Linked DNA regions of Danio rerio. The protein of the gene in region 2 interacts with the protein of the main gene of each other region in a biochemical or structural test. Links are inferred from orthologs where the notes say so. Each region holds a gene or a part of one and is shown on either strand. Other genes may lie near its edges.

Region 1 (7,960 bases), on a different chromosome or scaffold from region 2:
GGGCCAGAATCTGGCATCAGCAACATGCAAGCATTTATCCATCCTGCCTTGTATTAACGTTTACAGGCTTATTTTTTTATTTCTTTGTCACAGCAATGGCCAAAGGTGCTGATGATCCATCCTTCCTTGTAATAACGGTTCAGGCTGGTGGTGGTGGTGGTATAATGCTATAGGGGCTATTTTCTTGGCACAATTCTTGGACATTTTATTTGTACTAACTGAGCATCGTGTCAACGACACAGCCTACCTGAGTAATGTAGCTGACCATGTCCATCCCTTTATTACCACAGTGTTCCGATGGCATGAATCATTGCACAGTGGTTTCTTGAACATGAAAATAAGTTAACTGTACTTAAATGACCTCTTTGGAATGTGGTGGATCAGGAGATTAAGGGTTAAGGTTGTTCTGAAGGCAAAAGCAGGTCCAACCCGCTACTGATAAGGTGTACCTAATAAAGTGGCCAATGAGTGCAGAAACCTATGAATCAATCAGTTAATACACACTCCATCCATTATCTGGAGAGGTACGCATTTTTTATAAATTTCCATGCATTTATATTTCATGAGGGCAGGAGTTTAGCACCACGAAAACATCATAAGGATACAATAAATGGTCTACACGAGACTTGTGTAATACTTCAATTACTCTATCTATAGTATTAGTAATCTTTATAGTGTTAAGATACCTTTAGATAACAGATCAAACTATACAACTTTTGATCCTAATAGTTATACAGACCCATTTTTATGATCTTTTTTGTCTTCATGTTGATAGCTGTAGTCATTGATCTCATTGAAGATCACTGCAGAAAGTCAGTATAATAATAATGAGCAAATAATGATTGTTCCTAAGCTGGACTCATTGCTAATTCATCTCTCTCTCTCTCCCCTCATCAGATGCTGACGCAGAAGCTGCAGAATTCTCCTCCTCTCATTCGATCAGCGTTTACAGGCTTGTTTTTATTATTCCCTTGTCACAGCAATGGCCAAAGGTGCTGATGAAATTTGCTAATAATTTCTGTTTCACAATCTCAGAGCTGCCAAGGCGCAATGCTTTATTTCTCACAGATTTTATTTAGAGCTCAGAGATTAATGCGAAATAGACAGCATGAGAAATCCAATACGAAAGAAACGGCAAGCACAGCACATGGCCTACACACGGCTTTAAAGACATACATTTCATACACATGCCTAAGAAATATAAATACAGTTAAAGTCAGAATTATTAGCCATGCTGTTTATTTTTTACCTAATTTCTGTTTAACGGGGAGAATATTTTTTCAACACATTTTTAGACATTGTAGTTTTAATAACTCATTTATAATAATAACTGATTCGTTTTATCTTTGCCATGATGACAGTAAATTATATTTGACTAGATATTTTTCAAAACACTTTTATACAGCTTAAAGTGACATTTAAAGAAATAACTAGATTAATTATGTTAACAAGGCAGGTTAACATAATTTGGCAAAAAAATATATAGCTTAAAGGGGCTGTTCACACTTTATATTAAGTGTCGCTTATACCTGTGAACTTACATGGTAACTAGATGTAAAAGTAGTATGTAACTACAGTGTATGTGCACACTGGTACACAGTATTTACTTGTGTATTACTGGTGTAACTACACACATGTAACAACCTAGTTAATAGTATGTGTAAGTTCAAACGTGTAACTGGACATTGGTAACAACAATAAGAAAGTACACATCTGTACCAAGAATTACATAAGTGCATTGTGTAACAACAATATTCTTGCAGGGGTTTTCCCACTTCAACACCTGTTTGCATGACATGTATTTCAACACTGTATTAAAATAAGAATGGCAGAACTAACGTTGCATCAGAAGGTTTCACTTATTAATATCAGGGTAATTACAGGGTAAATCCTCAGGAACTGTCCACTGAATATAAAGTATAAAATGGTCACAAATTACTGTGTAATATATAAAACCTAAACGTTTGTGCAACTGTTTACCAACAGCACACTTCTGCCAAAAAATGTATGTGTAAATATAAATATACAAATACCTCATGTTTATATGTTGTTTTAAGGTAAATTGTAGAATCACATCCGTAATTCACATTTAAGGGCTAGTTTGCCAAAGATTGTGTTAGTAATGTCCTGTTACACATTTGAACTTAAACTATTCACTAGGTTGTTACATGTGTGTAATTACACCAATATTACACAAGTCAATACTATGTACCAGTGTGTACATACAATGTAACTACATACTACTTACACATCTAGTTAATTGTAAATTTACAGGAATAAGCAACACTTAAAATAAAGTTAGACCTAACTTTATTTCCCTTGCTCTTTTTAAATAACTTAATGTACTGTGAAGTATTGTCATGATAAAACTTTAATACGATACCTTAAAAAATTGTATTAAAAAAAATCGTGATACTAAAATAATGCTATATTAAATAATACAATTGTATGCATGTCTTCATTTCTTAATTTGCCAGAACTAAAACCTCAAGCATTAACCCACTGGTTACAAATGTGAGTGTGTGTTTGTGTGTGTTTTTTTTTTTGTTTTTTGTTTTTTTGTTCTAAAAGCTCTTTAAGTCTTGTTGTTGGCTTTTAAAGAGAAATAAAAATAAATTTTAAAATAAAAAAATAGATTGTTTTAATTAAATTGTTTGAATGTCACATGATCAGGTGAGTTACAATAGCTCCTGTGAGTTGCAAATTCTTAAACGGTCATATATTTGCCCAGTAGTATAATATGTTGTTTTATTGTTAGCAATTTTTCAGTTGGAAACAACTGAACTGCAATGCAATTCTGACTATGATCTTATACTTTGTCATAATTTGTGACGTATAAAACCTAATTCAAGTATAAAATTTGGGATCATACTTATTTTGGGGTTAAGAATTTTTACTGCTGGTTTGATCAGGCCAATGTACCCAGTGAAAAAAATAGTAAACAAATAAAACACGCATATTTGTTATTTTCATCCACGTTTTTATCCACGTAACGTTCTAATAAATTGAACCAATAATAATGACAGTTTTTAGCATTAGAGAAGAAAATAAATAACCTAACTTGCATAGTTAAAACATTAGAGTGAAGTCAATAATTAAAATAAAAATATATAATTATACAAGACTATTATATGGGATCAAAACAGCTTCAAGAACAAAGAAAGATTTTTTAGGCAAGTGCAACAGTAATACTGTTATTTATTGCTGATTAAAATTAAAAAAAATTAATAAGCTAAGAATTTTTTTCCTCAACTTGTCTACTTTTACTTAAGACATTTCCCATTGTGTTTCAAAGATGAGTATTTAGATGTTATTTTGGCATATTTAGCCTGTGTGAGATTGTTTCTGCATGAGTGTCGTGAGGAAAAGCGTCTTCCTCATCCACCATAGACCGAAACAGTCCTGTGACGTTTGAAGTCCAGAAAAGGAACCAAAAACAATGAAGCTTAAAGAACACATTTATGCACCAAAAAAACAAAACATCAATGTCTTCTTTTCCCCATCAGATCAGGGTGCTATAGACAATATGTCCAATTGCCATTAGAGTCCCAATATGTAAGCATTATATTGTCTGTAGTAGATGTGGCACCATGCTATAGTTCAATTCACTTCAATTCAGCTTTATTTGTATAGCCCTTTTACAATGTAGATTGTGTCAAAGCAGCTTCACATGAATGGTCATAATAACTGGATCAGGGTAGTTCAGTTTTTAGTGTTTAAGTTCAGTTCAGTTTAGCTCAGTTCAGTGTGGTTTAAAATCATTACTGACAGTCCAAACATTGAAGAGCAAATTCATCGATGCGTAGCTCTACCGATCCTGAACCATGCAAGCCAGTGGCGACAGCGGAGAGGGAAAAAAAACTTCGCTGATAGGAGAGTGAAGAAAAAAAAAACCTTGAGAGAAACCAGACTCAGTTCGGCAAGACCATTTTAATTTCTCCGCTGGCCAAAAGTCTTGTGCAGAGCTGCAGTCTCAGCGGTGGAGGCTGGAGGCTGGCCTCAGCGAAGACTCGTCGTCTATAGTTGAGCTTCTTATGATTACACATTGAATTTTACAATGTTTTTGGGTCCTTTACTGGACTTTGAAGGCGTACTCACACTATGTACAGTTGCCTTAAAACGGGCCAAAGCACGCCTCCTGTCTCCCCCCTACTGTGTCCCCGACGGCCCACACTCACATTATATTCGGGCCTGGGCACGCTTGAGTGATCGATCATGCGCTGTTCCGTAGAGAACTCCATTTTCTCAGCACAGTGGAGATTTCTTTAGGTATATTGTTTTAGTCGTTTGGGATGCAGTGACATGCTGTCAAATATTTCGCAGAACAGGTCAGCCACTTTTGACACTCGTAAACGATCATAAAGTCCTAATGCTGCAGGAATTAGGAGGTTTGCTAAAGGTGCAGCTGTCGTGTAGTGAGGGGTTTGCGTCGTTAATTATATATGACTCTGCGTTCATTGAACAGTAAGAATGATTATAAAATCCATATGAAATAATCATGTAAAAGTCACGCCTCGTCTTCAGTTTTGGGGTCCAAGTGAACCCCGCTCTGGCACAGCCAGGACAGGGCCAGCCAAGTGAACAGTACCTGAGCCTGATTCAGAGCACTCACACTTCTCAAACGATCCAGGAAATGGGCTTGGGCACGGTTCGGATAGCATAGTGTGAGTACGCCATGAATGTCTCATGACTGTTTCTGCCTATGGAGGATAAGGGAGCTCTCAGATTTAATCTAAAATATCTTAATTTGTGTTCTGAAGATGAACAAAGGTCTCGAGGGATTGGAAAGACACGAGGAATAATTACGTGAATAATTAATAACAGAATTGTAATTTTTGAATGAAAAACAAAACATTAGTATAAAACTGACATTATGATGAGCAGACTTCGCATAAAAATTATATATATAGCAAGTACCTGAGGTTTGAGAGATCACCCTTGGCCGACATGGATGATGAAGGATGTGAGTGAAGGTATGAAGGTGGGCGGGAGGCCTGGGGGCCGCGGCGGATCAGTTTGCCAGTGACAGGATCATAGGTCCGCATTTCGGGTGCTGGCAGCGGCTTAGGCTGAACCTGAGGGGCCTGGAAGGGAGGCCTCGGGGCAGACCCATGGATGTCTAGAAATGCACCGGGACTGTTGCTCCTGAATGAAACAAATAATAATAATAAACATGAACATAAAGATCAACTGCTATGACAACCAGTTATGTGGGGTACAGACTACTTTATTTTAACATGATGCATATGTTGTGGTGATTAATAAATGACAGAATGTAGTACATAAACATTTCTAATGTTGTTATATTTTCTATATTGATTATTTTTCATCATCATTATTATTATTTATAATTACAAATGTGCTTTTAATTATATTTATAATGCTGACATATGCTACTTATAAGTTAAGCTACTTCTTTATGTAGTAATAGTTTTATATAAAGTTTTGTATCTACATTTTATTTTTTGTTTAATTGGGTATTTTCTGTAGCTTGACATTTGAAAAATGTTGTACACAAATCTTTATGATTTGTACTAGATGTTCTTTCCAAGTGTTTGTATCTGCAAAGTGCGATCTCTGTGTTTTTCCTCAAAAGGTGTGAAAAGCAAACCTCCCATCTTCTCTAAATTGAACTGATGCCACCTGATGTGTCTCATGGGTCACGTTGACATGACCTAGCCTTCACCCTGATCTAACTTGGGTGGAAGGAAACATCTTGCAAGATGTAAATTAGTGACATAATGGTAAGGTTTATTTGACTTTACTGGTCAGCATTAACATCTGCTACTAACATGATCTCCGATATTACATGAGATCTTGCTCTCTTGTTTTACTATACAGCCAAGGCTGTAGTCTTTCATTTTATTTGTATAAGCTGCCTAAACACAGACCTCAAAACTTTCTAAACAAACATGCAGACTCAGCATACATAAATTAATATGTTAACTTGTTTTTACGCTCGGCCAAAACACGTTACCTGAGCACAAGTGGGCTAATAGATTCAAAAGACCGACTCATTAAATAAAAGTCTACACAAGATGAGTTATAAATCGTGTTTAACAACTACAGAGAGATGAGATCCAGCAGCAAATTCGGGACAAACTGGCCGACGTTCAGCTGCTCTCAGCCGGACAAGTGTGCTCAGAGCTCCTGCTGACTGCTTGGAGCTCAGACACGAGAATATGCAGAAGCAGCATTCAGTGCATGTATGGTCACATAATGTGCGTTTTCTGTTCAGAAAGGCTAGATGAAATGCCAGTGCGAACGTAGATCGTTTTCATTCTAATACGCCATCTTAAAACAAAAACGTATTGGAGTAAAAGGGCCCTCAAAAAAGCTCTTCAGCAAGTTGCCTTACAACTTTAAGTTGAGTCAACTTTTTTATAGTGTATAATGAGAAGCACGATATTATGATATACCTCGCAAAGCAGATCATGGAGACATTTTAATCATCCTCCATCAAAAATCGTCATATTGCACACACATAGTTCAGTTCCGATTGAAGAAATATGAAATCTATGTGTAAACAAGCAGATGGAAAAAATCTTGCTTGACTCATGGCCAGCGCTCACTTTACATCAACGTTCTGCTAAGCATCTCCCTTACTGTGCCATGAGGAAGTTTTAGGGAAACTGATTTATTTAATATTACTTTAATATTGCAAGTGTCAGTGCAAGCTGAAAAATAATAAGTTGTTGAATGCTTCATGTTCTATTCATGAGCGTTGTAGTGATGAGTGAACAACACAATGAAAATTTCAGCAGTCACAACAGAAAATACTGACAATACCTACTTCATACTGAAAGCCACAAGTGAACATAAAGGATGGAAAAAGAAGTAGAAGGCTGTAAAAGATAAATACCTGTGTGATTTGTTATAGTCCTCTTTGAGAGGAAAGAGTTGCTCCTCTACTCGCTCCCAGCGCTCCAAACAAGCCCACAACCAATCAGGATTTACCACATGGAGATGTTTACAACCCAGAGCTTGACGAACTTTCTCTGTACCTGACAGAGACACAAACAAAACACTATTTAGATAAACCACACTGCAATGTGAAATATGATCGGTCGGTGTTTTTCTCTCCACTATCAGCAGAGCAGAAGGCAGCAGCACAGCAAAAGAAAATTGCAATCTGAATTGAATGTGTTGCAATAAAAAAACCTACTAAAAAAGTCAAAAAACATTTTTCTATTTCTTTTTTCAATCAAAGTTTATCATATAAATAAAGTTTTAATGCTAAATTGCACAGGCTACAGTAGCTATGTTTTCATCCACCTATTTTTATGTGCATTTTGAATATGCGCATAAAAAAAATAGTGCGTCTTTGTCTCAGAGGCATGAATAAAAGTAAGTCAATGAAATGGCAGAGGTGGCCTATTGCATGAGAATTTGTATCCACCGTCGTCGGTTAGCATGCATAGTGAGGAAAATTGCCTGCAGTTGAACTTGTTGCAAAAGTAAAAGCGAAACGACCAAAACATATGGTGTCATGGCGAACATGAACAGTTGTTGAGTAAAACACCACAGTAAACTAACAGCGAATGGAGACGTACTGACGTTAATCGACTATGACTATACTATAACATGTAAAATGGGAACATAAAAAGAACATTAAAAAAAACAACTCATGGAAACACCTTAACCATATTCTCGTCTTATTCAGATTAAGGCAAATCATTAAACTACTGATGTCCAAATAACCACAGTCAGTAATAGAGATCTCATTATGATCTTTACATACACAACAGACAGTGAGCAACAGCTAAATGCTACAGTATATGCAATTATCCTTGTCACATAATTTTAATATCCGAAATCTTTAATATCTGAAATCTCTTGCACATCATTAAAACCTTTCATAGTATCTTTTATGATGAAATTTAAATACTGGAATCCACTGGCAAATACATCTTGACAAAGTGATTAGGTTCATAAAGTATTATCAAATTATGGAAGATTT
Region 2 (8,749 bases):
ACGTCGGACCAATTTGGTTTTGTAAAAGGCACATCAATCCAAATCTACTTGAGCTGCTCGTGTTTACTTGGATTTGACGTACTTGGTGCATTGAGTTCATATTTCTGTTTCATTTTTTACACTACAGTTTGTTTTAAACCAGTGTCTTTCTCTAAAATGACAGTGAGAGGTTGCCTGTCTGTCAGTGTTTGTGGTATTTTTATTATTGCACTGATGAATAATGTGCCATATATAAAACACTGTTCTCTAATTATGTAGTAATATATGATTTCTTACTCATGCATGGGGAAATTTGCCTTTATACATGCAAAAAGATGATGTTCAGTGCATGTAAACACTGAGGTTTCCACATTTGTTCATGCCACATAAACACGTTGAATTTGTTGTCTATATATATAATATACATCAAATGATTTTTCAATGAAATCTGACTTTTTACATTTGTAATGACACTGTTTTGTAGTATTTTATGTTCTAATAAGTGTATAGCTCAGGGGTGTCCAATCTCAGTCGTGGAGGGCCGGTGCCCTGCTGAGTTTAGCTCCAACTTGCCTCAACACACCTGCCAGGAAGTTTCTAGTGTATCGAGCTAGAGCTTGATTAGCTGCTTTAGGTGTGTTTGATAAGGGTTGGAGATGAACTCTCCAGGACACCGGCCCTCCAGGACTGAGTTTGGACACCCCTGGTATAGATTAAATTAAAATGGGTTTTTTGAGTATGTTACAACACTTATTATGGGTTGTTTTTGTCATCTGTGAAAGACTGGAGGATTAATATAAAATCTAATGTGAGTAAATATTGGTTTGGATCAATAAAATTGATACCGCTCTTGTCTTAAAGTGTCATAAGGTGCTATTAAAATGTTCCAGGTACTGTACATACCAGATTAAAAATTATATGAAAATATGTAAGAAGTTCAATTTTGCGTCTGCATTAATTCGTAGTAAATGTACGCATTTCATTTATTTATATATATATATATATATATATATATATATATATATATATATATATATATATATATATATATATATATATGTATATATGTATGACTTAGGCTATAATTCACACAGGCTCACCAAAATTAGGCAATAGAAGATTGGAGAAATGTTGCCTGATCTGATGAGTCTGATCTGGCATCAACAACATGAAAGCATGGATCCATCCTCCCTTGTATCAACAATTCAGGCTGCTGGTGGTGGTGTAATGGTGTGGGGGATATTTTCTTGGCACACTTAGTGGCCCAATAGTACCAATTGAGCATTGTGTCAACACCACAACCTACCTGAGTATTGCTGCTGACCATGTCCATCCCTTTATGACCACAGTGTACTCATCTTCTGATGGCTACTACCAGCGGGATAACGCACCATGTCAAAAAGCGAGAATAACCGGAATTCCACCGGGTGCTCCGGTTTCCCCCATAGTCCAAGCACATGATACAGGTGAATTGGGTAAAACTAAATTGGCCGTAGTGTATGTGTGTGAATGAGTGTGTATGGATGTTTCCCAGTGATTGGTTTTAGCTGGAATGGCATCCATTGTGTAGAACATATGCTGGATAAGTTGGTGGTTCATTCCGCTGTGAAGACCCTGGATAAATAAAGAGATGAATGAAGCCCCTGTAGTGTAATTTTGTTTATTCTATGTTTTGTAATTTATTTATTTTTATTACTATTTTATTTGTTGATTGTCTTTATTATTTGCGCTCAGTTCTGTATATTTAGATGAAAATATTCATTTGAATTTCGCTGCATTGTCTTTGTGTTTTACGTCAATAAAAAAAAGTAATATGTCATTGTGAAATTAGTTTCATGTAAATTGACTCTCCTGCATGTATTTTATTTGTATTAGTATCTTTTAATGCTTTATTTATGTTATTATTATTATCACTTAGCGGTATGATACATGAATGTGCTCCAAGCAGGTTTTGCATCTCGTTTATATACACTATAAGGAGCAGCTACGCTAATTATTATCTTTATTCTCTATTTTCACCTGGGGATACTCATCCCAAGGCCCTCAGACTATGCAGTCACTGATTCGATCCAAGACCAGCGATGACATGATCACAAGTTTTCCATAATCCTGGACCAGGCTGTATCCTGGCTGCTGTGGTGGTCATTGACGAGTGGAGAGCATGGGACTGATTCCTGTGACTCTTCAGGGACTGACGAGTGTTCGCCGAGGTCCAGCCTCCGGCGCCTTGACTGCAGTTTGTCGTGCCCAACTGAGTCTGGTTTCTCTCAAGTTTTTTTAATTCTTCACTTTTCGCCAATTGGTGAAGTTATTTCCTCGCTGCTGTGGCCACTGGCTTACATGTTTTAGAATTTGTAGAGCTGCGCATTGATGGATTTGCTCTTCAGTGTTTAGACCAGGGGTCACCAAACTTGTTCCTGGAGGGCCGGTGTCCTGCAGATTTTATCTCCAACCCTAATCAAACACACCTGAACAAGCTAATCAAGGTCTTACAAGGTATACTTGAAACATCCAGGCAGGTGTGTTGAGGCAAGATGGAGCTAAATCCTGCAGGGACACCGGCCCTCCAGGACCAGGATTGATGACCCCTGGTTTAGACTCTTAGTAGTGTTTATTAAACCACACTAAACTGAGCTAAACTGAACTGAACTTAAACACTGAAAACTGAACTGATACTATTTCAATTTACTATGATCTTCTATGTGAAGCTGCTTTGACACAATCTACATTGTAAAAGCACTATACAAATAAAGGTGAATTGAATTATTATTTAGTTTTTGTTAATATTATTATTACGAACTATGTTGTTAATTATATGGGTAACACTTTACAATAAGGTTGCATAAGTTAATGTTAGTAAATGTATTTACTAACATAAACAATCAGTGAACAATACATTTATTACAGTGTTTATCAATGTTAGTCAACATAAGTTAATGAAAATACACTTGTTCATTGTTAGTTTAACCTACAGTGCAATAACTAATGATCTATAAATGCAGTACAAGTAGTGTTCAGAATTAGCTCACGCCAGTAAATACATTAACTAATGAAACCTTATTGTAAAGTGTTACCTATATAATTAACAATATAGCACATAATAATACTAACAAACATAAATAATAAAAACAAAGCATTACATGATACTAATACAATTTAAAACACATGCAGGGGAGTCAATTTACGTAAAGCTAATTTCACAACGACATAATATTAAACCTTTTTTACTGCTGTATAATATATGTTTAACAAAGGAAGTTGAAATGACTGTTTATCATTTGAAGGTTTGAAAAAAGTGGAAATAATAATAAACAAATAAATAGCTTTACGTAATCATTGTTTGTCTTCCGGTCGGCAGGTGGTGGTAACGTGTTTTTGCGCCGCTGAATCCGTCCTGGGAACCGCAGAGGAACAGCAAGGATGCAGCGCGACAAAACCGGAAGCTCTGGCGGCGGTGAAAAGTACGAATATTTTACTAATTTTATACACTTAACGTTCATTTACACTGTTAAATCTCGCATTTTATTACATTTTAATATACAAAGCACACATTTGTACTGCTATAACATAGCTAGTCTCCAAAGCGACGCTGTAAATGTGATGTTTGTGTGGGGGTCTGGATTTGTGTCTTTGTCGGGCCGAAAGAAAACGCGAAGTGATCCACACACTCAAAACAGCGTCATAAAAGACCAAATAGTTCTTTAAAACAAGCTTAATTATAACATAAATCAGTAAATAGCGGATTTGTAGTTGTACTTAGCGTGATATGTGTAGGCGGAATGAAGTAATATCGCCTTGTTGTAAAACATGAGTGTGTATTTGTGTTGTTTGTGTTCAGGCCGGACAGAGAGACCGCCATCATGTCCAAATACTACGATGGCGTCGAGTTTCCCTTCTGTGATGAATTCTCCAAATATGAGAAGCTGGCGAAGATCGGACAGGGCACCTTTGGGTGAGTATTTGATGTTTGTGTGTGTAAATATACCATAATGTTTATCATCCAGTAACAGACCATTTTCACATGGCGTCCGGTTTCACTCCATGCAGTGTGTCGTTACTTCCGCCTACATAGAAATCCCCATATGGCCCGTTTCCACTGAGTGGTACGGTTCGGTTCGGTTTGGTACGCTTTTATTACAAAAGGTGGCGGTAGGACATAATTCATTCAAATGAAGAAACTGAACAAAACATTAATATTTCAGTAAATAATAAATGATGAAACTGGTTGCATTTGTAGACATAATGGAAATGTTGCAAACACATGCTTTCCCTGATAAACCATAGCTTATTCATGTTCTTAACAACTTAATCATTTTCAAACTCAGAAAACAATTCAGTATTGAAAGAGACACATTTGGACACATGGCCAATACCAATAATAGTGTTAAATCAGATCGTGCAATCTTAAAGGGCCATGAAACCCCCTCGTTTCAGCAGGGTGTTTTCACACCTCTACTTTGGAAAAAGTCAGAAAAGTGGGCGTGTCCAGCTCTGTTTAGGGGGGAGTGTCGGAGGAACTAAAGTGGGATGGTGTGGGAGTGTCTATTTGGACACGCGCGAGTTTCAGTCAAAATACACACAGACAAAGTGATGGTGTTTAACCTACATGGACATCTGTAGTCAAATTATTTGCCAAGTTATTAAATGTTGGACTTTAACTGCAGTTTGGCTCTTTCATTCAGGGAATTCATTCATGCCCCTCGCGACAAACGAGATATTTGATTCGAGGATCTGCTCTAAGCGTGTATTTTTCCTGCAATGTTTGATACCGCACGGCGAATGAGAGAAAAAAACCCTCCGCATTTCCCGGAAACTTAGATGCACACAGCAGGTAGCGTCAGAAAGCCGCGTGTGTTATTCCGGCCACAAAATGCGGTGCTAACATGTTTGCACTCAGTGCAATAGTTAACTTAATTCAATAAGAACAAACTGAATAAACAAAGAGCACTGGTCGCTCACTTACCAAATCTGTAGAGACAGGACAATCACCAGCAACTAGAGCCGCGTCTTTATGGAGAGAATACTACAAGCGAATCCGGATCTCAGCGTTTGCAGATGAGAACAGCTCTCAGGTAAACAATAATCCTCCTTAAACACGCAAGTTATTGTTGTCGAGCGTCTCGTACACTAATCCACGCGTGACTCCAGCTGAGCTCTCACAGAGAGAAAATGAAAACAAAACTTAACTGCAGCAAACTATAAAAGCAACACTTCACGCTTGTTTTGCCAACGCAACTTGGCGTCTCTGTGGTGTAAACACGGTGACACTAATGGATATTAATGAAGTTGCACAATAGAGCGCGCTGATTGGTTTGACCCAAGCCTTACTCATGCATTAATGCATCACACTGTAAGACGTAATAAGACTCACTCTAGCACAGACGCCCAGTCTGCACGCTGAAATACACGCTATTATGTCATGACCGTGACGCAGCTTCAAAAATTAGTTTCAAACAGGAAGTACGAATTTGCTTGAAATAACGCAAAAACAACCAATTTACACTTTTTAGTGAAATATAGGTGTCCTGATAGTATTTTTAGCAGTGTGGGACACATATACGACTGTCAACACCTCAAAAAATGTGTTTCGTGACCCTTTAATATTTTTATTTTTAAATTTCCTAGAGAAGTGTCCCATTCATTTAAAGGTGAACCGGAACTAAAAATACACTGCGTTGCAGAAAGGAGGAAGTGAACTGACATAATTGGGATAAGGGTCTGTTCACTGTCTGAAATGATGAGTGTATTGTCTGACTTTCTTATTTTGTAATGTGAGAGCATCCATTTGTAACACTTGAAGGGATACAGCTGCTTCTGGGCATGCACACAATAATATTGTGGCTTTTTTTGTAGGGGTAGGTCATTCTTTTCCTTTTGTTTTCAGCTGTACAAAACTCTCCATTATGTTGGTTAAAGTTACAAACTAGTATTTCCTATGTTCTTTTGATAAATTTATCATGAATAAAATGTTCCCAGATGAAAGTGAAACCACCAAACTGCAGTTAAAAGTCGATAATTTATAAATGAAATGCTTGAAATGACATGAAACTCCGAAGGAAATGTATATAGCGTGGTGACACAATGATGTTACTTAATCTATGTACTATAACATGTAAAACGGGATCACGAAAAGAACATTCAAAAAGCAGCTCAATGTAAACACCTCAATCGTATTATTGTCTTACTCAGATTAAGGCAAATACTTCAACTAATCATGTCCATATAGACATGGTCAGTGAGGGGTTTAATGATTTGATTTGTTTTTTTCTCTTTATAGAGAGGTCTTCAAGGCTAAACACCGACAGACGGGGAAGAAAGTGGCCTTGAAGAAAGTTCTGATGGAGAATGAGAAAGAAGGGGTAAGAAAATGCACCTCTATAATCTATTAAGTAAGGCAAGGCAAGTTTGTTTATATAGCACATTTCATACACAGTGGCAATTCAAAGTGCTTTACATAAACAAGAATAAAAGAAAAAAGTCAAATAAAAACAAATAATAAAAATGCGTCAAAACATAAAAACAGGTAAAATATGACATAAAAGAATGAAGAAGAAGAGAAAAACATGATAGTGCAATCTGTCGGACGCAGCACAGTGCTCATTCAGTAAAGGCACAGCTAAACAGATGTGTTTTCAGTCTTGATTTGAATGTGCCTAATGTTGGAGCACATCTGATCATTTCTTAGTTATATTGTTGTATAAGGCACTGTTTGCATCTAGTAATAATATATATTAGTAAGTCATTGTAATCACATATTAATGACATTTAATACGGGAAATAAAAATAATCTAAATAATTTTGAGCTTTTTTCACTTGCATCCACTTCCAGAGGCTGTTAAAAATGCAATAACATTAATAGTGTACACACTTATGTGGTCAAATGTCTTTAACTAGCCTAAAAAACCTCCATATACAGACCTCATTTATAAAAAAAAATACATGACATAGTGTTCATGCACACAAATCAGATGGGATTTAACCTCTGCCATCTGTAATTGTAGCTTTGGTTTGAATATGGAGAGATGTAAAAAATCACAAAGTTGTCTTAACAATACTGACCTCACTCCTATTTTAATAAATAAAATTGTTTTGTTTAAATGCACCAAAATACAGGCCTCCCACATTTCTTGAAAATACATGAACAATTTTAGACATTTGGATTCAAGGCCTGGAATGTACTTAAAAACAAAACCAGGTCCTTGAAAGTGCTTGAGATAAAATATAGTGGTTAACAATTGTATAGTGGTTAAAAATTGTACTGTGCTGTCGACGCCAGTGGTGTAGTGGTTAATGCGCTGACACATGCACACATGACTCACGGCAACCCAAGTTCGATTTCGCCTCGCGGTCCTTTGCTGATCCTTCCCCTCTCTCTGCTCGCAATGCTTTCCTGTCAATTCTCTCTACTTTCCTATTCAAATAAACGTGAAAACCCTGAAAAAAAAATATTTAATAAAAACAGTTGTATGGTGCTGATGTCAAAAACTGGAAAAAGAGAGAAATCCTTCATTTAAAAGTTGCATTTTAATCTTGTAGAAGAATCATTTTTATCAGTGTTTCAGAAATTATATTTGGATATTAACAGTATTGAATTCAACTCATTTTAACTCATTTCAAGTGTTTTAAACATGACTGTTTTAATGACACCTCAGTAACATCATCATTACTATGATATTTGAATGTAAAGTATAAGTTAAATGTTATGTACAGTAGGGGCTTTCATGGTACTACATATGTTGGTGGTGTGAATTACAACAGTGCTTGATCTGAAATCAATAGTGCTTTAAAAAGTCATTGAAAGTCCTTGAGAGTGCTGTTTATGAAACAGTGGAAGCCCTGAAAATATATTGCCTTGCCTTTTCACTGAGAAACAGATACAAATATTTATTTTCAAGGGCATGTACACATTTATGCTGAGCACACTGCATTATTGTAAAAAGTCTGTATTATTAAATGTTTATAAATGTGTTTACTTTTATTGTATGTTCTAAAGTTGTATTATTCTGAATAGTTTTTACCATGAGACTACCCAATGCATGTGAGATGGCAATAAATAAATATACAATATTAACCTGTAAGTGTATCTGTGCTCTTCTCTTCAGTTTCCCATCACGGCTCTGAGGGAGATCAAGATCTTGCAGCTTCTCAAACACGAGAATGTGGTCAACCTCATCGAGATCTGCAGAACAAAGGGTGAGGGTGAGGATAAAGTCCTGTTTAATACACTTTCCATTCTGTCGCTGCTCTCATTACTGCTGTGTTTTACAGAAAACAGGTTGAACGTGATAGTAAGTGAAAACTGGGTTAGTCAGAGAGAGCAAAACACTATCAGGCTGCATTTACACTGAATAGTTCAAGTGACTCAATTCTATTTTTTTTTCCTCCCATGTGGCACAGATCGGATATGGCTCATGTACATGCTAGCAGTAATAAAATCACATATATTCCGATTTGCTCAAATCAGATTCAGGCCTTGTACATATTTGTAAATTTATCTGTTATGAATCGGATCCATGCCCTCTGCAGTGTAAGCAGGTAGATCAGATTTTCACCTCTCAATGCAAGTCGCGCATCATTAAAAACCATAGTGAATGATGTCAACTCTGACGCTGTCATTTCAGAACAGACTTCAGCAGAGTTGCAAACCTTCAATCTCATTCACGAGCACTAACCAAGCTTTTATATTGTCATGTAGCACTGGTATTTACGCATGTTAACGAGAGAGAGATATTAAACTGTTGGATAAATCACGCGTGGACATTACATTAAA
Region 3 (6,817 bases), on a different chromosome or scaffold from region 2:
TGTTAGTATGTGAATAAGTAAAGATTTTTATTTAACGTGATCTAACATAATACGTTTAGCTTAGTAATAAATTTAGCCCTTTGGTAATCTTAGCGCATTAATGTTAACCAATTGACCATATTGTGAAGCGTTACTTTGAATTAATTGTAATACTTTCACTTATGATTTAACAAATATTTTTTGTTGGTTTTAAGCGATGCTAATATTGACTTTGCAACTTCTTTTTAATTGTAATTACCTGTTTATTCTTAGCAGCAGTCAAACCTTCATTGCACTATTATTGTAATTCCAGCTCTCTTTGATCCAGCCTTGGATCTTTCTGTCAGCAGCCTGAGTCTTTAACCAATCAGGCGGCGTCTCATTAGCTGACCTGAAGCAGCTCAATTCTGATTGATTGTGCTGAAATCTCAGCCTCTATTGTTACCGATTTAGCGATCAAAAGATAGTTTGAAGCCAGACTTTGAGCTGGATTGGTCATTAACTCAGCAGGAAGTTGAGTCTCTTTTTAATACCCACTCGCTGAGAGACTGTAAATGAATGAAGCTGTTGATTGCAAAAACATGGCATTTGAAGTAAATGAGATCTGTTGTGTGCTGTTGACTGAATCCATTTCATGCCATTTTGTTTTCCAGCCGGCCCAGACAAAGAACATTCTAGCAAACACACCTGATGGACTATGATCAGCTTTGACATTCACAAAAAAAGTTTAAGAATAGAAATAAACTGACCTTAGGTTTTTAGGAAAGCGTGTCTTGTGTCCTCAGTTTGTAATCAAGTGTTTTCTGTGTTTTCTGTATTCTTGTCTTTCTTGCAGTCTGCATTTGACCACCTTTTGCCTGCAGCACAAACCCACAGTGGTGGCGTGTGTTTGTATTCACCTGGCCTGCAAGTGGTCCAATTGGGAGATTCCAGTCTCTTCAGATGGGAAACATTGGTGGGAATATGTGGACCGGGCTGTGACTCTACAGCTGCTTGATGGTCAGTCATAAAAGAGGGGAGGGGGGTGATTATTTCTTTGGTTAAATCCATGTTGATCGATCTCTTGTTTGAGGTATTTAATTTCTCAGGCCACTTTAATTTTTTTAACCAATTTCTCAGTTCATTTTAATTGGCATTTATCATATTATCTATTTTGCTAAGTACTAAACGTTGTGCTTGTCTTTGTAGACCTGACTCATGAGTTTCTCCAGATACTGGAAAAAACACCAAGCAGATTGAAAAGAATCCGAAACTGGCGGGTTTGTATTAATATTTTTGTTTATATGAAAGAAATATGCAAAGTCAGAAACATCACTTTGGGTGCTTTCACACCTACACTTTTGATTCGGAACCGGTCTCATTTGCCCAGTTAGCGCGGTTCGTTTGGCATATGTGAACAGGGCAATCGCTCTCTGTTCCAAGTAATCGCTCCGAGAGCGCTTGAATGAGGTGGTCTCGGCTCGATTAAAACGAACCCTGGAGTGGTTCGATTGCAGTGAGAAAGCGATCCGATCCGAGCGCGGTTATATTACAGTGTTTTATGGATATGTAATAGACTTACAGCTCTATAAAGAGAGAATTATGAGTAGGGCGGGAAGTTTCGCGAGTCTCCGGATGCCCGCAAATGAGTGATGATCTCCCGGTAATCTTGCGTCTCCCTCCCGGTCCTCAAATAGGCATCGTCGCGCACCCTTCTCACCCCTCCCCACCCCATCTCTCCTCAGACACGTCACGCACGCGCACCCTGTCAATCACCACCAAACCACCACCTCTCCTGACAGCTGAGCGGGACGCTGCAAAATAAACCCTGACACTCTGACCAATGTAAGGAGAGTTTACTCGCACGTGACTTGTTTTAGCTCTTTTGGTCCAATTAGAAACTTTGCAGTGTGAAAGCGAACCGCTCCAAGAGCAAAGAGCAACAATGTAACATTTGTAATCTCTGTTTCGGAACAACTGAATCGATTCACAGGTGTGAAAGCACCCTTACTCTCGTGAGGCACTTTAATAGGTAGACATTGCTAGTACTAGATTGTGATCCTCTTTTGTTGCTAGAACGGCATTAATTCTTCATTGTGTAGGTTCACAAAAAGTGAAGAATTTATGTGAATTTTCTGTTCACTATATCAGCCTTCTACAAACCTCGGTTGTTTAGAGCAGTTATTTGAGTAAAGTCTTTGCACACTGAAGTTCGAAATTTTGAGATGTGTTTTTTTCGTATTAATATCTGAAAAAATCATCACGTAAACAAACTTTGCTCACCGAGTCTGATGCGTATTAATAAATCAATTCATTACAAAACAACATAAAACATTTCAGAGTCAGTTCAAGTAGTGATACTTTGTTCTTCTCCTTAGTAGAAAATAAGAGAAATAGGCTACAGATTATCTAATTCTGCATAGAGGAAGAGAGTTCAGCTCATTATCAAAGAGCTGTGCCGGAGTATCCCCAAATGCAAAGCATATTTCAAGACATCGCTGGAATTTTGGTACATTGCTTGTGATACTTCACACATTCGCGCATGTAAACAAATCCTGAACAGAGACTCGCAGTACCTTGAGACATTATAATAGATGACGACCACCGTTGATGTTTCGAAGCAATGGAACGAAAGCGGACTATGCTTTCTATTATAAGGTCTGTGGGCAGTACGTCAAATGTATGAATACACATAGCAGCAGATGTTAGCTAGCACAAGGTATTTGTATCATTTTGTATTGAGCTTTTCACTTCTACGGTGGCTCTGAACTGTCGAAACACCTCAAATCGCTTTTCAAATGCACAAAATGGAAATATCGAACCTAGTTCGAAATTTTTTTTTTATGATAGACAAAAGTTTTGGAGGCAGTGTGTCAATACAATTCACACAACGTGAGGTCAAATTTATTTTTTAATGTGCAAAAATTACGGATAAATTTTGGATTCGGTGTGCAATAACCTTTACTGTTGTCTTTTTATCAACTCTAACCAGTCTGAATTTTCCTCTGCCATCAGCAAGTTATTTTGGTCCACTTAATACAGGTTATCTGTAGGTTCTTAAGTCGCAATGTCTTAAATTTCAAAAACTAAATTTAAGGCTCTAAAAAGTCTTAAATTCACTGAAATATTGTGTTGTATGTTTTAAATAATTTTAAACAGGTCAGTTTTTTTCTTTCCAAATTAAGCTACCCAATTGGGCCGACATCCATCCAATCACCAGAAATCCATCCTAATAAAATCAGGGAAAGACAACTAAAAACAATTACACAGTTCCTCGTGATAATATTAGAAATACATTAGGTTGAATAGAAGTTATACTTGATCAGTTAGTACCAAAAGCCAACAAATATATATATTTCTGATAATTTATGTAATTGCCTCCACAATAAATGTGCTTTTAGTAATGTTAAACATGTCATAAAAGAAAGAGATATAATATTAAAAGTAGTGTGTCAACTAGAGTTTTCTTGTTTTAGCACATTTAAAGTACATCGCTAAAAAGAAATTAAATCCTTTTTTCTTTTTTTTTTTGTGGCTAGCAAAAAATTAAATTGACCCAATAAGGATAATAGGAATAATCCTAATAAAAGGAAGTGTTTTAGCCCTGTGTAATTCTACAATTTCATTCATAATGGTTGTAGCAGGGTCTTAAGAAGTCAGTTATGACAGTTTGACTTGAAGAAACCTGCAGAAACCCTGTAATAGTCCTTTTTTTTTTTTTTTTTGGACCCATTCTCTGTAAGCACCAAAGACAGCGATATGTGAAAATACCAGTAGGCACCAACAGTCATTTCACTTTCAGCCACTTAAATCACATTTCTTTCTCATCCTAATTTTCAGTTTGACCTTCAGCAGATCATCTTCATGTCAACATGCCTAAATGCATGTAGTTGGTGCCATGTATAGGCTGATATTTGTGTTAATGAGTACCTAACAAAAGTGGCCGACGAGTGTATCTTTGGACATTTTTGTGACACATTTGATTGCAAACTCAAGTAATGGTCCAATTATTTTCGTTCTCGTTTTAGGCCACACAAGCTGCCAAGAAACCAAAACTTGACAACCAATCACTAGACGGATCTTTCCAATCTCTCAACCAGGACACCTCGTTGATGAGTAGCATGTGTGACCTGGGAGCGGGCATGTATTCTGACCCGTCCACCTCTTTCCCGTTGGACGGGTCTTCACTGTCTCTTAATGGCCTGTCGAACTTGCAGAGTTCTGCTTTCGGCTTTCCTGCACCAATCTCTCAAACTGCCGATGCTTTTCTTGCACTCCAGGCGGCTCCGACAAGCAAACATGGACATAGCTCTGCCACTCTGGCTCCTCAGAAACTCACTCTAGAGAAATACCGTGAAAAACAAACCGAATTAGAACAGAGACGCAGACATGAAGAAGAGGACGGTGATCAACATCGAAAGCACGGCCATTTGACATCCGAGCCGTCTACATCTATCAGGCTGAAGTATAATCAACAGCAGGTACTGGAGCGACCGTCGAAGAGCGGGTCACTCAAACGACGCCACCCTTCCTCATCAGAGAATGGTTCCGCTAGTCAAGAAGAGCTGAAAATGAAGATCAAGGTATCGTCTGACAGTAGCGGCAGTAGTAAGAGCCGTCACAGTCCACTCTCCAGCCGAGAGAAGCATCGTGAACATTCATCCCACAAAACAGCGAGACACGATTCGTCTCACTCGCATGGTAGTCATCACCACCACCACCATCACCACCATCATTCATCCAAATCTCACAGATCTTCCAAGAGCCACTCCTCCTCCGCCTCCATATCTGTCAATCAAGCGATAGGCCAACCGCAGTTGGCGAAGATTGACAGGAGGATGGGGGAGGGGCACGGTTCTGAGCCCAATGCTGCTTTAATAAATAATGGTCCACATATGGATTATGAAGACACTTTTAATATGCTTGATTCCCTATTAAATGCACAAAACTTCCAAATTTAAAGGAAAAAAAATCTGACGTTTTTACATAAACCCTCAAAAAAACGTACGATTGTCGTTCTCGTGCTAATTTTATGCAAGGATCACTCGTCCGTTAAATGTCATAGTCTCTTTGATTGGTTTTATCACTGAAGTTAAAGAAAAAAAAACTACAAGGTGTGAAGGTTGTGTCGACGTTTTAGTTTGAGCAACAATTGTGAATTTACAATTTTAAGACTTTCGTAGAGCTTGCTAAAAAGAGATTGCGAAAAGCCTTCGGCGATCTTAAAGTGTTCTAGTTGGAAAAGCGCAATGTGATAAAGTGAGTATGTATGTTCTTCATGCTTGATTCACAATTTTTTCGTTTATCAAAGGGATGAAAATAGAAACGTGTGACTGTTTACAAAAGGAAGGTGCAGATATCTGTTCACTGTTATTTGTATCAATATATATCTATGTTTAATTCTATTTCACGATTGCTCAGGTTTGGAGGTTCTTAAAGGTAAAAACTTCACGAAACTTCACAAATTTTAGCTGGAATTTCGCAAAAATGCCTGTACACAATTCCATTATATAGCTTTCCATATATTGTAAATTTTATTGTACTGTAAAGTATCCGTTTTACATTATCCTTTGTTAGAAAGCCGCACCGATGACATCAAGGGTCTTTTTGCGTAGTAATTATGTCTTACGACTTTAAAGACATTTATGCTTGTAATTCGTTTCTTTTTTTTGACCCTTTACAGTAGTGGAAAGCAAAATGTCATTTTTCACTGAGAAATTCTTTGAGTTTTGTTTCGTGTGCCAGGTTTGAACGGTCAAGATCGCGCCCCAGACTTATCAGCTGATCTATTTCTGTTCATCGTGGTGTGCGTCGAGCCTTAAAACTGTATGATAGAGATTTTAGCAGCCTGTGTGTGTGTGTGTAAATGTCCCATTTCCTATGATCTCAGTATTTAAGATTTACGTTTCCATCTTCTCTCCTCATTGATTCTGATTGGTTAATAAGTGGGCTCCCATTCAGATCAAGCAGCAGTTAACTTTGTTTTTCTGTCCGGTGCTCTTAAAACGGCATTGGGACCATTTTGAAGGTTTTGGATGGAGGGTAAAGAGGAGAAATTCACTCTAGATGTGGCCTAGACTCCTGTTGTGCTGTCAAAAAACCTCCTCTCACCAGATACCAAAGGTTTGTGCCTCAGTGTTTGCCCACCGTTGGAACTGTATGAAACTTTTAGGTTTCTGTCTTTTATTATTTTATTGGAATGCCACAGTTCTTTATAATAGTGTTAGATCTGAGTCTGTATGGATGATGTTTTGGATTGTCTAATAAACATCCAAGAAAATTGCCTATCAAAATGGTTTGTCTTCGTTTTTATTTTAAATACCGATTTTACATGCATCTTATAAAATAACTGCTGTTCACTTGCAGAAAAATGGGGGTTGAGAGGGGAAAAAAAAGCGCCCTGGTCATTCAAAAAACTGCAGTTTTTGTTCGTTCACGCACCATATGCTTACACAGCTCCCTATGAACAATATTTTGAAGATCAGCATATTTGCTGTAACATTGCTGCCCCAGTAAAACAGCTCTTTTAAATCATGATGTCATATCCTGCTGGCTTTCATCGTCCCAAAGCACACAAGGCTCAAACCTGACATGTGAAAATCGCTTTATAAGCAAACGCCCATATTTGCTGATCAGTAGATCCATGTGTTTTTTTTCCCCCTGCAGTGGAAACATGCATACTTCACAAATACGATAGCATGGTAGCAAGTATGCCATTTTGAAGACGATCAGCTTGCACAATTCCTCTCCTCAGCACCAGATGGAGCTCTTGAGTCACGCGTCTCCATCATCCAGTGGTTCAGATACCCTCAGGTACGTGCTGATCAAACTACAGCAGACATCACAAGACAACCTTGTT
Region 4 (7,960 bases), on a different chromosome or scaffold from region 2:
ACACAGCTTCTCATACCTCAGGAAATTAAGTTCCTTTTACTTTTGATATTTGACGCCAGTTAATTAGGAAGTGACAATTTTGATTTGTTTGACTTGTTGGATGGAAACTTTGCTTTATGCACAAAACTAGAATATCGCATAAAAGGTGTGCGAATAAAGTTAATTCACATTTTTGGAAGGAAACATAGCTAGTGTTGCTGGTTTACTTTAGTTTTTACTGAAGCTGCTCTGAAATGTGCTAGCCGAAGAGATGTTTTCTAGAAAGTTCATTTGGCAAGCTGTTTCAAACACTTGAAACAACCTCATTCTGATTTTGTTGAATATATCATGCCACTTCACAGTCTTTAATTCTGCACTCCATGGCTTAATGCAAGTATAACCAAGTAAAATTCTCAGAGATGGAAGGATAGAATAAACATTTGAAAGCTAAAGGCCTGTGCAAACCGTACAATTCTCACTCATGCTTACCGCTGATGTGTAACATTTCATGACTAAACAAATGGTCACCAATGTGAGCGTGCCCACAATTTCACAAAACGGCAGAATTAAAGTGTCATATATAAAAATAAAATGTACTCTTGCTCTTTTTTTTGTTGTTGTTTTATGCGTCACATTAGAATGAGTAAACCGATAGGAAGCTACTTATGTCTGGAGATGCTATAGCTACTGGAAACACCACTAGGTTATATGCAGAAGTATGCAAAAGGACTCTTATTTTTTTATGTATGCTGTTACAATTATTGCAGCATTTAAGGTCTGTTTTCTTTAAAAACCAACGATCTCCACTGCCTGAGTGATATACAATATATAAATAGGTCTCAGAATGTACAAGCACTGCATAAATGACATTTTTCCCCACCATGTCTTTAAAATATGAACGTTTATTTTGGAGCTTCTGCACTAGCCTGCTTATCCTTATGGGCGCGTATGTGTAAAAGGCTTTGCATATCAACGCTGAAGTCTATTTAACTGATTTTATTTTTATTACTTTACAACATCAATGCTGTAAAAGAAACCAAAACTGAAAAAAGTCAAATCAATTATTCACTATAAGTTTATCAGTATGGGGAGGAACACTAGCTGTGCATATATCGCTAGAAGGCAAGTTGAATGTGGAGCACGGCTGTGCAGTTAATCGAAAATCCGATTTCGATTTCAATTTTGGCTTCTAACAATTATGAAAAACCATTAATCGGGATAAGCAATTATTGCATCATATAGCGCCACCTTTTGTTGCTTGACCGCATGTTTCTGTGCGTGTGATTCTGTTCAGTCAGAAGCATGTGGTCAGCATTCGGTCTCATTCGCCCACTGAGACGTGCAGAGCGCACACACCTTAAGTCATCTTAATGTGAGCGTTTAATGGTCAAATAGGTGTCAAAACGTGGTGTTCAGTAATTATTCATATTAACCGTCATTTGTGTAATAAACAAACGAGTTGAAAATCAAAAGACACGTGAAAGAGAAACCATTAAAGTGACCGTGCGCAATATCCCTGATGCCACCTGTTTTTATGATTATTAATCAAACAAAAGGAGAAGCTTAAGTGTTTAGCTTAAAAGTGTTTTTCTTACGGTGAAGATGCTTAAATCACAGTTTATTTCATATTTTTATACTATTGTATTTATTTCGCTTTCCTTTGCAGGGTGGAAAAGAACTATATATATATATATATATATATAGTTGCAGATTCAAAAAAATATATAGCTTAAGGGGGCTAATATTATTGACCTTAAAATTGGTTTCAAAAAATTTAAACCTACTTTTATTCTAGCCAAAATAAAACAAATAAGCCTCTCCAGAAGAAAAAATATTAGAGGAAATACTGTTAAAATTCCTTGCTCTTTTAAACATCTTTTGGGAAATATAAAATAAAAAAAAATCTCAGGAGCGGTAATAATTTAGAATTCAACTAATAATCGTTTTGAATAATCGTAAATACAGTTTTCACCAAAATAATCATGATTATGATTTTTCCCAAAATCGAGCAGCCCTAATGTGGAGCTGTTTGTAGAGTACAAAAATGTTATCAAGAGGGAGTTGTTATGGAGAGGATTTGCAGATCAAATAGGATTTCATTCTTGAAACAACCTTGTTTTGTTTGCCAGTTAACAAATACTGTGTGATTGTTTTAACAGGTGCATAAATGCTCTTTTTCTATGTAACAAGCAAGTGTCAAACACACAAAGTTGCACTGCGCTTGTGTACTAGGGTATTTCTGTTTTTCATTAAGCTCTATCTAACGTCAAAGAGTGATTTTGCTCCCAAGTGAAAATGTTGACGATAAGCGCAAACAAAAAAGGTCCCAGTGTGCACAAGCCTTAAAGAGAACAAGATGATGATTGTATGGCTCTGGGGATGAAGTACCTGGCGCTGGGGGTGGATTTCCCTGACGCTGGCTGTGGTGTGCTTTTCCCTGAGGAGCTTTGAGGACTGGGCTCCATCTTTAATCTCTTGGCTGCTGGAGTTTCTGAGCTCGGCACAGTTGTCTGTCGCTTACCTGAGATAGAAGTGCAGAAACATGTTTATATCTAAGAGTTTATATCTAAGAGTTTTGCCACAACTTCTGAACTAAAAAGAAAGACAAAATTAAATAAGGAAATACTAGGCAAATAGTATAAGCTTTTGATTTAATAACGTGTTAAAGTGGCACTCAAACCAAAACTGAACACGGTCATCAATTAGTCATATACACAGCATCATAGTTAAACATTACTTTGTGAACACAAATTTACATTTTAGAAACAGAATGATGGAAGCACTTAATGGAAGCTCCTGAACCACACAAAGTGAGCACGACAGTAATCCTTATACCCCCAGCAGACGTAAGAAAATGCATTTTGTTAAAACTATAACCATTACTTTTAGTTGACATTACCATAAATATGATGTGAAGTTTCACAAATTGTCACATGATTGTTACAGAGCATCAAATCTCAAATGACAATCAATTGGAAGCAATAGTTAATAGAAAAAAAAAATAAAAAATTTATTTGATAAAAAAAAATATATATATAATATTTTTCCATAGTCATGTTAACTTTGTCTCTATTCTTTCTATTATTATTGCTTATATACACACACACACACACACACACACACACACACACACTGCTTACACACACACACACACACAATGCTGATGTAAGGGAGACTAAATAAGAAAACTAACATTGTTGGGGGATTGTTTTAACTGCAAGTTTGATTCAAAATTCTAATTTAAAAGTAAGTACTACTAATTTTTTTTATTCTTAAGCTGCCTTTCCACAGCACATGAGAAGCGACAGACTGGAAGTCATTCATTTTCAATGGAGAGTAGTCCAAGAGCTGCATGGAGTTCCGATATGCAGAAAATTTGGATCTGATCTGAACTCCTGCGACTACACCGTCTGTGACCAGCCGACCGGATGTGATGTATTCCAGTGTTGTCCAAGCAGGTCCATGCGCGCGAGATGACAAATAGGAGTTTATTTCGTTATTTCGTTTAGAATCTGAAAAAAAGTCTAATAAGTCTAATAAAATTCTATTCATAAAAGAGTAATAAAAAATATTGTAATTTTTAATCTTGTCTCCACATTCCCTGATGAGTAATTAATTAATATGATGAGTTTATAGTATTCATTCATTCATTCATTCAACTAAAGGCTCTTGCTTTTGCACTCCATTATTTTAGACACCACCGCTGGAATCCACTTACCATGGTAAATGACAAAACAAAATATTCAATGTGACTGACACAAGGGGGTGTATTTTGTGCAGTGGAAAGGTGGCTTTAGTATTTTTTATTATATCTACTACCACAACGTCATAAAAATTAATACATTTGAATATAATTTTTAATAACTGAGTTTTGTTGAGTGTACCTTGCTCCAGTTTGCTGGCAGCAGCACGGAGAGTGTTGGAAGTGGCAGCATTATCAATAGATGGTGTGCCTGGTCGACTACCTGTTCTTGAACTGCCTGCTGAGCCACGGCCACCTCCTCGCTTAGGAGGTGTGCGCTTCTTCTGTGACAGACAACAAGAAAAAAGCACTGTACCATATTCACATGAAATGTCATCAAAACACAACATCCATATTTCTTTTTCAGACACAGACAGACAGACAGACAGACAGACAGACAGACAGACAGACAGACACACAGACACACAGACACACAGACAGACACACACACACACAGACACACACACACACAGACACACACACACACACACACACACACACACACACACACACACACACACACACACACACACACACACACACACACACACACACACACACACACACACACACACACACACACACACACAAATATAGGCCATTACCACCATAAACAGTGCTGACGCTGCCTCTCCTTCAATATCACTGTCCTCAGAGCTGTCGGACTCGCCGCTGCTGTCTGAAATACATAAGGATTTTAATATCAAATAGTACCTTTTATCTTAAAAATAATAAATTGTATTGTAGAACATATATTTATTATCTGAAACAAGCTGCAACTTATATTATACAGTAACTTACATAATGCAAATAGCATTAAACAAGCTAAATTTGCTCAAAATATGCAGAGATTTGAATTTGTCTCAAATGATAAAGGCACATTAGCATTAATAAGCATTTCTTAAAATTAAATTTTTTTTGGCTTGAATAAAATCACAAACATACTTTATTGAATTCCCCAAAAAAACATTTTTATACTTATTTTTTTTACTTATATTTATTTTTCTCTTCTGAATACGGTTACATTAAAGGACCTTTATTTGAAGTTAAAGGAACTGAAATACATTTTGTAAACAATTTGTTATATTTAGGACTAGTAGTTGCCAATTTTTTGTGTTATTTCTGAATTAAATTGTAAAATATCACTTCAACACCAAAACAGCTAATCTGTGTGTTTTTTTCCTCCTAACAATACAATTCTGAGCTGGTGCAACTTATATTGTGAGGTTCTAATTTTCTAGGAATTGCTAAAATCCTAAAACAGACACAAACCATTCAGAAAAGCAACTCAGATATGCTTCCTAACCATATTTTAAGTATTTAAATTTAAATTTACATTTTAAAAAGTACTTCATCAGTCATATTTTTTTGCCTCTTTTATTTGCCTATTTAAGGGGTTTTCTTTTTTTTGTAATTTTACAGAAATATTCATCTATAAAACATAAATGAAAAGTTTTTTGTCATTTAAAAATTATACATTTTAAAAAAAGGCCTTTCTTTATTTAAGTAAGACTTTTAAGTTACACGCCTTGATTTGAACAGAAAAAAAACATCACATACAACTATAATATGAGGTTGCTCGTACCTTTCTTTTTCTTCTTTTCCACCTGCACTGGCGTCTTCTTCCCATCTTCCTCCTCTTCCTCTTCCTTATTCTCTTCTTCATTCTTGGTCTCTTCCTCACTCTCTTCCTCACTTTCAGACATTTCATCAATCCCTGAAAGAAAACCATCAGTGCTTCACAAAGCCATCTCAAATCATATATCAGGACTAGACAAAGCTCATTCCTGCAAAAAGAATAAAACCTTCTAAATCCCCAACCTTTAGGAACATCCTCTCCCTTATTTGGCTTGGTCTTCTCTGGTTCTTCTTCTTCAGAACTGGAGGAAAAAAGAATGGCGATGATGATGATTAAGACTGCAAAACAATGACCATATGAATATTTGTGTCACTAAAATCACCTGCTCTCATCAGACATGTAGTCCACCTCCAAACCCTCAAAGTCACCATCATCACTGTCCTCAAATCCTTCTAAGTCGCTGCCCTTTTTCTTCTTCTTCTTTCCCTTGCCTTTGGCACCTTTTTCCTTTTTAGCTTTTGCCTTGGCTTCATCATCTGCAATAAAAGAAGATATTTTTTTAAACTGCCCCTATTATGCCATGTAAAATGTTTTTCACATTAATTTAAAGATCTCCTACAATTAGTTTACAAGCAGCCACATTCAAAAACACTCACAAAAGGCCTCTATTTTCTCAAAATATGCTTAAATTTAAATTGATCTAATTTCTCACAGAGCTCAAATCATTCATTTGATTTATCGTTTCTAAACCCCTCTTTCCAAGAGCCTCTTCTGATTGGTCACATGGTCTAGTACCCTGTGACAGGCTACTGCTTGCACAGGTAACACATTTAACAGAACGTTGAAAATTGTATACAGTAGACTATGCTGATAGATTTTACTAATAGTATTGAGCCAGAAACACTCTTTATTATTTATAGAAAGTAGAGATGTGGGATTAATTGAAATCGTATCAAAATCCTGATTTGAACACACGTGATATCTAAATCGCTTTACAGATTTTCCCACATTATGCTGTTTGAACCAATCATAATGTAGCACGCCTAAACAGAGCGCGAGAACAGGTGATTGAGATTAATGACAAATAAACTGCATAACAGGGATTATGAGTTCAGCACAGGAGGGCTTGGTGCCCAAAAAAAGTCAACATCTGGGGTGTGGGATTACTTTGGATAGAGGAAGACTGATGTATCACAGAATCAGGTAATTCATAAGACCTCTCAGTCAAATATTGCATCTTATAGCATATGGAAAGGGGAAGGCATGTCACTTGTATGTCAGTTCTTGTTACGTGACTCGCAGTGCAGCATTCTCAAAAGTGGAGATGTTTTCAACTGCGTGTGCATGGAATACATGCTTCACTCCCAATATACGTGTAAGCTGGGCACCTCCATTGGAAATAACTAACTTATGCAAAAGATGCAATATGTGAATGGCCCATTTCACGGCAGCATCACAAAGAGATTTAAGAGCTATGCATGGCAAAAATAAATTTGTGGACACATACAAAAGTACACATAACTACTTCTGATATGTGGTCAAACAGAACATCGTTTGAAAGCGTGTGTGCGCACACGCACGTACGCACAAACACTAGTCTATTTATTTGTTTTATCTAGAGACAATTTATTAGACCTTCAGTAGGTGTTTTTTTTTTTTTTTTGCTTTATGTCTGTTTTGGAGACGTTACAGTCTTTATAAAGAAAGATTTAATAAATTTCCTTTGGAATTACATTTCACATTCACACTGTATAACGCCTGTGTGTGTCAAAAACGTGATTAAAATTGAAATCGCAATATTGTTCAAGAAAATCATGACAGGTTTCTTTCAGCCGTGATAAAAAGCTATAATAGAGTGAAATCCCCACAAAATTTGCTTGTGTAAGTGAAATACCCATGAGGGTTTACTTTATTGTGTCCTGCATATTTAGTTCAGGGTGAAAATTAGATAGAAAACTGAAACAATGTCTTCTTTATGAGGTTGGTTTGATTTCATTTTTAAGATGCAGATTTAAGACAATTTAAATACTAATTAAGGCCTTATCTTTGCACTATGGAATTTAAGACTTTAAAAATCTGTGGACACCTTGTGTATGCAGCTTCTTCACTTATGATTGTGTGAAACTTGATTTAGCCCTACATTGCACTTCATACTCATGATTTCTCTCAGAAAAAATAACAACAAAGCGCAGATATGAAGCAAACAGTAGATTTAGCTGTTTTGGTGACATTGACAAAAAACGCTTCTAGACATGATGTTGATATGAACAAGCCACTGTGTTGGAGGGTCAAAATGCTGTTGGCAGGCAGCCCATGAAAAAGATAGACTGGTAACACAAGCATGTTGCATATCAATATGTATTGATAAGAGAAATTAAATTGGAATGAGTGGTTTAGAACTCACTCTTTTGTTAAGAGACAACTAAAGTAGTCAACATCTGAAACAAATCAAAACCTTTCATCAAAGTTGTCCTAAAATTATTCAACAACAACCATTCAAAATCAAATGTTGATTACTGAATATTCATTATGTACTTTGATCTTTAAATAAAAAGCATGATAAGGCACACTCATGTTCCTCTCTGACCCTTTTGCTCACCCTCACCATCTCCATTGCTGCCATCACTTTCATCGCTGCTCATTTCCAAATCTTCCTCGAG

What was found.
Region 1: of the proteins of cdk9 (region 2) and ctdp1, one has a biochemical effect on the other in vitro, tested with the Homo sapiens proteins (3 studies listed by BioGRID). The link is inferred for Danio rerio from reciprocal best matches to the Homo sapiens genes CDK9 and CTDP1.
Region 3: the proteins of cdk9 (region 2) and ccnt2b form a complex in vitro, tested with the Homo sapiens proteins (4 studies listed by BioGRID, with this or other methods). The link is inferred for Danio rerio from reciprocal best matches to the Homo sapiens genes CDK9 and CCNT2.
Region 4: the proteins of cdk9 (region 2) and gtf2f1 form a complex in vitro, tested with the Homo sapiens proteins (2 studies listed by BioGRID, with this or other methods). The link is inferred for Danio rerio from reciprocal best matches to the Homo sapiens genes CDK9 and GTF2F1.

The regions. Positions count from the first base shown.
Region 1 is NC_133194.1:12,889,044-12,897,003, forward strand, and holds part of ctdp1 (RNA polymerase II subunit A C-terminal domain phosphatase), read right to left. Parts: intron 7,005-7,960; coding exon 6,863-7,004; intron 5,146-6,862; coding exon 4,918-5,145; intron 1-4,917. UniProt on the Homo sapiens protein: Processively dephosphorylates 'Ser-2' and 'Ser-5' of the heptad repeats YSPTSPS in the C-terminal domain of the largest RNA polymerase II subunit. This promotes the activity of RNA polymerase II.
Region 2 is NC_133196.1:7,394,363-7,403,111, forward strand, and holds the start of cdk9 (cyclin-dependent kinase 9), read left to right. Parts: upstream 1-3,376; 5' UTR 3,377-3,399; coding exon 3,400-3,440; intron 3,441-3,817; coding exon 3,818-3,931; exon of another isoform or gene 3,932-4,082; intron 4,083-5,906; exon of another isoform or gene 5,907-6,256; coding exon 6,257-6,338; exon of another isoform or gene 6,339-6,373; intron 6,374-6,664; exon of another isoform or gene 6,665-7,234; intron 7,235-7,441; exon of another isoform or gene 7,442-8,081; coding exon 8,082-8,172; coding exon of another isoform or gene 8,173-8,178; intron 8,179-8,749. UniProt on the Homo sapiens protein: Protein kinase involved in the regulation of transcription.
Region 3 is NC_133197.1:11,830,255-11,837,071, forward strand, and holds the end of ccnt2b (cyclin-T2b), read left to right. Parts: intron 1-814; coding exon 815-978; intron 979-1,167; coding exon 1,168-1,238; coding exon of another isoform or gene 1,239-1,280; intron 1,281-1,951; coding exon of another isoform or gene 1,952-1,957; exon of another isoform or gene 1,958-3,986; coding exon 3,987-4,919; 3' UTR 4,920-6,251; downstream 6,252-6,817. UniProt on the Homo sapiens protein: Regulatory subunit of the cyclin-dependent kinase pair (CDK9/cyclin T) complex, also called positive transcription elongation factor B (P-TEFB), which is proposed to facilitate the transition from abortive to production elongation by phosphorylating the CTD (carboxy-terminal domain) of the large subunit of RNA polymerase II (RNAP II).
Region 4 is NC_133178.1:32,751,446-32,759,405, forward strand, and holds part of gtf2f1 (general transcription factor IIF subunit 1), read right to left. Parts: coding exon 7,900-7,960; intron 5,837-7,899; coding exon 5,683-5,836; intron 5,602-5,682; coding exon 5,543-5,601; intron 5,439-5,542; coding exon 5,307-5,438; intron 4,401-5,306; coding exon 4,327-4,400; intron 4,006-4,326; coding exon 3,864-4,005; intron 2,501-3,863; coding exon 2,368-2,500; intron 1-2,367. UniProt on the Homo sapiens protein: TFIIF is a general transcription initiation factor that binds to RNA polymerase II and helps to recruit it to the initiation complex in collaboration with TFIIB. It promotes transcription elongation.